Linked DNA regions of Tribolium castaneum. The protein of the gene in region 2 interacts with the protein of the main gene of each other region in a pairwise test. Links are inferred from orthologs where the notes say so. Each region holds a gene or a part of one and is shown on either strand. Other genes may lie near its edges.

Region 1 (3,031 bases), on a different chromosome or scaffold from region 2:
ACGGAATTATTTCATCGATAATTTGTGTTTTATTCCGTTGATTGTGAGCGGCCTCCGGAGCGAAAGACTGGTCCGAATGTTACGTCAGAGAAAAGTTTCGCCACTCAATGACCAAATGTTACAAATTGTTGATGAAAAAATCCTCGAAGAGGAGGTCAAAGGCAGGTGAATATCAACACAAAACACTCACGTGTTACATTTCTTTTCCTACTTGCTTACACCACAGATAGGACAGTTAGGGAAATAGATAAGTGAGTAGTTTTCCACGTTTGAAATTCGTGTTTTTACAAATTTGTACAAAACTTTACGTTGTTTAGACCCCCCGAACGTGCACCCCCTGCTCCCAAAACCATCCAACCGAAAAAAGTCAAAGAACAAGGTCTTGAATATTTCCTCGTCAATCTCGATCCAAAAATATTGGAAAGTCAAAAACATAATAAACTCACACGTCTTCTAAACAAGTACAGAGACAGGAAACTCAAATGGGAACGACGCGAAGAAGAGGTAATTAACTGAGAGTTTGTCTTGCCTTACAAGGCAGGGAAAAGACACGTCTTAACTTACAATCACCAATTTATTTCTTTACATAAACATATCGTCATAACCGGGCGGTGGGAACTCGTCATTATCGGGCCGATTATTCGGCCGTCTGGGAAACCTATCGACGTCAGGTGGTCGAAACGGGTCAAATCTTGCCCCTGGGGGTACAGCACCTGGGGGCATTCCCAGCCCTGGTCCTTGTGGATATCTCCCACCTCTGGGCGGCTCAAAAAGCATGCCACCACCGCCCATAGGTGCCGGAAAAGCCAAAGGATTCCGTCCGAAAGGATTCAAATCGTATTCGCCCACTCCCACAGGCCCCGCACGTGGCATAGGGTCCACAAATAGCGGCGAAACTTGTGGCGGAGAAGTCGGAGGCGGGTTGGAAACAGCCGGTGTTTGGCTCGAATTGTCTTTGGTGTTTTTCGAAACAACGATTTTATCAATCAGTTCGGTTTTAATCTGTTGGAGGATGTCCGAGTGTTTGGGGAGGATCTGAGATAGGGTTCCTGTGCGACTTGCCACCAGGGCCGTATTGAGTTGGATGAGAGAGGTGGTGCGTTCGTCGACACGGATCAAGTTAAGCATTAGGCCTTCGTCAACTTTGGTTGCTTTGAGGAGGTAAAGCCGGCCCTGGTGGACGTAACGAATTGAATACGATTCGGTCCAACCTGGTGGTAGGGCTTCAGTTTTTGTTTCGGAACCATCGAGGATTTTAGATTCGCCCAAACCGATGCATTTAAAGTCGTTCGAGATGAGCACCAAGTGCGTGAAACAGAGGAGGATGTCTTCGTTGGTTTTTATCTCGGACTCGACGCTTTTCAGCAAAAGGTCCCAACCGAACAGAGGACTCGACATTTTGCACGTTTTAACCGAGTTTAACACTCGCACTTGACGATTTCAAACTGTTAGAAATGATGACAAACAAATTGTTTTGCAATAAGGTTATGTTTATGTTTTTTGACAGGTCATTACCTAACCGGAGGACATGATCATTGCGATTATTTCCATTTTTTTCGATTTTTTACCTTCAGTTTTATTGGAAAAACATGGAATTCTAACATTAACCATTCATACTCAAATTAACTGGTTAATTATATTAGTTTTTTTTAATATTTTGGACCGTCCAACTGTTGCACAAGCAACAGGGCCGGCTTGAAATTTTCAAAAGGGCACACGATTTTTTTTTGTCTAATAGTGGGAAGAATTTCTTGCTAGAAAGCCCCTGCCGGGGGTGAATCACCCCGACGATGATGTTGCGTTAAAAGACGCCAAAGTCACAATCGGCAATTACAAGCTGAAATCGGATATAACATACAAGGCGTCCAAAAATCAGCGAGAAACAACAGTAAAAAAATACAAAGAGCTGCTTTTGTCGCGAGTTAAGGTGGCTCAATTGAATTTGAGCCAATTTTCGGTTAATTTCTTTTTTTAAGCAATCAAACACCAGGCACAATTTTAATGAAAAAGTCTGGGCTTTGCGCGAGGAAAAAATCGCGATTAGGGATGAACTACAAGTGTTGAACGAGAAATTGGACGAAATACATAAAGAAATTCCGGATGATTGTCGAAAAGAAGCTCCGATTGTTCGAGAACCGGAGGACTGCGAATTTCCCGAAAGGCATTTTGAAATTACCGTGACTATGGTAATGGAAGAGGAGGAATATGATGAAGGGAGTAGGAAAGAACCGGTAATTGTGACCGAATCGAAAGATTTCGATGCAATTGAAAAACATGTTTTGCCGAAAAATACCAAAAAATTTGACGCGAAAGAATGCGATGTTGCACTGCTTGATTTCGAATCATTGTGTAGTTTTTCCAAAAACGAGAAAAAAGACACTTTGTGGGAACACGATATTCGCACGCGGAGACTTCAAAGGAAGCTTTTCGAGCAAGACGTGATTATTGATGAAATGAACCGAAAAATCACCGATTTTGATGATAAAGTCGAAAAGTTGAACACTGAAAGATTCCAAGCCGAGGTGGACGCAAAAATCATTGATATTTTTATGGTGACAGTGCACCAAGAACTGCTCATTCTGAAGGAATTTGAAGCTTTGGAGTACACACTTCAGTCGAAAGTTAATCAGAAAATGTCCGAAGTTTTAGATATGAGAGACATTATCGACGAGATCAGCTCGAAAATCGTCGAACATAATTCCGACATCGAGAAGGCACAAGAGAAGATTAAATCGATAACAGTCAGTTTCACAAATGCGGTTCAAGATAACAAGTTTTTTGATTTTTTGAGGAAAGTGTTTCGGAAAAAATACAAACCGCCAAAAGTGCACAAGGATGATGGTGAGATTGATGAAAATCTACAAGTTTTAAAACGTAAGTATTTTTACAGAATCGAGCTCCGAATCATCATCATCGTCAACGTCATCGACGGAATCTGACGATGATGGCAAAAGTATCGACTCGCGGGATTTCGGGATTATAAAACAGGACTTGAACGTTTGTCCTAAAGGGTGTGACCCTAGCGTTTACG
Region 2 (3,657 bases):
AATTTTTAAAATAAAGTATAAACTTACCTATGAGGACATAATTCAACTTAGAAACAATACCCAATTGTAAAAAAAAACATTTTGTTGATTACTTTTCACAAAAATTCAATTTCAAATTTTGCGTTCACGCGCTTATTGGAACATCTCCGCTTCAGACGTAGTGAGTATAGTTCTACTTTAAAAAACGTTTTTACAACTTATCACCTACCTCTTTCAAGACAGCAAGTGTAACAAAATGCAATTGATTTCTCTTTCTTCAATCAGTTTTATGTAATTATATACTATAATACAGTATTTAATAAAAGAGTTGCTATATACTACATGAAATTTTTTTTTCGCTTGTGAAAAAATTTAAAGTAAAATTTTAATCATCAAAAACTATAACCTTTTTCTTATAATTTTTGTGATCTGTAACTGTAATCTGTAAATAATTAAAATTTAAAAGCAGTCCATGTTCTGACATTTCCCAACATTTAGTTTTATTTACTTGCCAAGTTTTTCTGTTTTGTTTACTAGTTATTGTAATTTTTATTAAATGCAATATTATGTTCAGAATATACTGTGGTATATTATTTTTTTTTACATTACAATTACCGATATACTTATAAAAAAATATGTTTTAAATTTACTTTCTGTCTTCTTCAGTAACAAGGTATTGTTTGTCCTTCATTCAGTTGTTAAAAGCTCGTTGATCTCTAACTTATGGTAACAAAACAATTTTTCGAAAAAACAACAGATGGCGCCGAATAAAATAAGCTACTCACCGGCCAAATGGAGCGGAGTGGAATTTCTCCCTTGCACATCGCGACAATTGATATTTTCCGCGGTAATCAACCGTTGAATCCTCGCCAAATTCCCCTTTTTGGCGGCATCCAACAATGCTGCATTCCCTCGCAACAAATCGGCAACATCTTGATCACCCTCTCGCACCAAATCAAGAGCCGTAGCTCCATCTCGGTTTTTCTTCGTGGGATCAGCACCATGTTTCAACAACAATTTCACAATCTCGTATTTACCTTTCGCTGAAGCCTCGTGTAACGGTGTAAACTTCCACAAATCGGCAACGTTTACATTAGCTCCATGTTTGACTAATAATTCGGTCACTTCGTAGTGACCGTAGGAGCAAGCGTTGTGTAAAGGCACTAAACCGCTACAAAACCCTAATTTTATACCAACATTGAGTGAGAAAAAACGGTTCCAACCCTTTATCTTTCGCATGTACGTCGGCTCCTTGCTCGAGGAGATACTCGACAACGGCTACTCGGTTATAACCGGACGCGAAATGGAGGGGAGTCGAATGACGACCGTCCAAATCGCGACAGTTAACCGTGTTGGGGTACGTTTCTAGTAGTCTTTGAACCTGTTCAAGATCGCCGGATTTCGCAGCTTCCAACACTTGGCATTCGACATCGCCGTTAACGGCTGGAGGATCTTGTAAAAAAAATTATAAATTTATCAATTCTGTGACTCTAATGATGTTAAGTTGGCAAAAGTTGTCAGAACATACGGTACCTTGGAACAGTTTTTGGGCGTTTTCGCCGGCTAATTGCGCCGCTGTGTAGCCCTGTAGCGAGACAATTGAGGGATCGACGTTGTAGGACAGTAAAAGTCGGCAAGCTTGGACGTTATCATCTTTGGTACATCTGTGCAAGGCAGTTTGTCCTAATCCGTCCAAAGCATTGACTTTAGCACCGTGTCTTAGTAGCACCTCCATGAGATCAAGATGCGAATTATCAGCAGCCAGATGAAGCGGTGTCAGAAAATCTTTATTTTTCTCATTCAAATGAATTCCTTTACGAATCAACAATTCGATTATTTGTTTACGCTTCGGATAGGGCGAATTCACGGCTACATGTAGCGCCGTATCACCGGTATATGGATGTTTAAAATTGACTACTTCGGATGTGAGGAACTTTTTTAGTTTGGTGGTGTCGGCTTGTTTGCAAGCATCCAGTAATTGATGTCCACGATACTCACCTACAATATAAATGTTCAAATTTTTGTGTAACAATTATTAGAATTGACTGACATGAGAGTCGTTCTTGTAATTCTCGAGTCGGTGCTACATCGATTGCCGATTTCGAATGACAATTGAGCTGAGTTGGATCCGCACCTTCGCTCAGTAATAACGAACACACTTCAAGGCGTGATTTTGAAGCCGCTTCGTGTAAGGGTGTAAAAGCCCAGAGATCGTTGGCGTTGACGTTAGCACCATGTTTAATTAGCATTTCGGTCACTTCGAAGTGGCCGTATGAACACGCGTTGTGTAGAGGGACGAGGCCGCTGGAAAAAGCGGAAAGAAAGCGGTAACATCGACTGTTATACAATAACTTTCGAAACGATGACGACTGGATAATTGTTTCATTAATCATTACCGTGTCTATTATCACACAGAATTAAAAGTTTTTTAAGTAGTTTTAATATTTACACAAGTGAGTGCAGCGTCCAAAAAATATTCTCAAAATTCGGTTAATAAAAAACACGTTTTTCTTATTGTTTCAAACAGTTGCCAAAAAAATCTACTATTTGTATCTTGGGTTAAAGTCCTTTCTAACCCGCTTTAGGAATTTTGATTACTAAATAATAGAAAAAAGCTAACATAAAACCATTATTGGGTGATTTCGTGAAATAAATACACTCAAAAACGTGTCAAAAACGTGTTAAAAACGCTCAAAAAAAATTTCATTTTTGTTCCAATTTATTTGTTTTAGAGAAATTTGGTAAAACAACTAAGTCTGATGAAAATTAAAAATTCTTTACAAATAATTGCTAAATAATTGCATATCTGATTAAAAGACGTGCTAGAATGTAAAAAAAAAATAAACTCGAAAAAACAAACACAATATCATTTTAGACCTAATTCAAGATTGTTTTGGCAAAAAGATCATTAACTCAAAACTCAAACAAATACTTAAAAAAAAAAACGAGATCTAACACTATTTTCGATCCAATTTGGCGAATTTTTGTCAACTTATTTTTGACTAAATTTTGTCAAATGATTGATTATGATTAATGAGCCTGATTAAAAAAAATACATAAAAAAGCATGATGAGTGCATTACCAGTTTAGTAATTTATCAGCTTGGCTTAGCAACATTTGGCTTAAAAACGTGCAGCAACGCACAAAACAATAATAATGTCATTTGCTAGGATCATTTGTGTCATAATCGATTTTTTTGACTCGGTTAGTCGTCTAGGCCCGGTTTAATAAAATTTCACAAAAGAAAATACCTCAAAAAATGCAAAAAAGGCAAGTGGGTCCATTATCAAACAAATTTTGCGTTTTTTGAGCGTATTCGTAACAAAATTTCATTAAATAATGAAGTTGCTCATTTAAAAAATGTGCCAAAATACTAGAAACACTACTTCTTTTTCATATTAGATTTCTTTTAGCTTATTATGGTCCAAATTTTGGGGTTGAATGCCCCCCCCCCCAGAACATAAACACAATGATTTTAGTAGTAGTAATAAGACAAAAAAATACATTTTCGAGACAGTCAGTGTAAACATTCGACTTTTTCTATTAGCGAATATTCCGAGAAAAGCAACTCACGAGATTCATATTTATATTTTTCAAATAAACTCTAAAAGAAATTTTTTGGTAAAAAAATAGTACACTCCTTTATCTTTATGGAAATAATAACAAAAAACATAAAAA

Evidence for each region.
Region 1: the proteins of Tnks (region 2) and proteasome inhibitor PI31 subunit interact in binary tests that used the Drosophila melanogaster proteins (3 or more experiments, as listed by UniProt). The link is inferred for Tribolium castaneum from reciprocal best matches to the Drosophila melanogaster genes Tnks and PI31.

The regions. Positions count from the first base shown.
Region 1 is NC_087402.1:1,007,522-1,010,552, forward strand, and holds proteasome inhibitor PI31 subunit, read right to left. Parts: upstream 1,699-3,031; 5' UTR 1,399-1,698; coding exon 583-1,398; 3' UTR 556-582; downstream 1-555. Other genes in the region: cilia- and flagella-associated protein 44, read left to right, coding at 1-165, 231-251, 318-504, 1,739-1,927, 1,977-2,841, 2,891-3,031.
Region 2 is NC_087397.1:12,006,231-12,009,887, forward strand, and holds part of Tnks (poly [ADP-ribose] polymerase tankyrase), read right to left. Parts: intron 2,284-3,657; coding exon 2,030-2,283; intron 1,978-2,029; coding exon 1,513-1,977; intron 1,432-1,512; coding exon 1,203-1,431; intron 1,151-1,202; coding exon 765-1,150; intron 1-764. UniProt on the Drosophila melanogaster protein: Stimulates proteasome activity, probably by ADP-ribosylation of PI31. Modulates 26S proteasome assembly.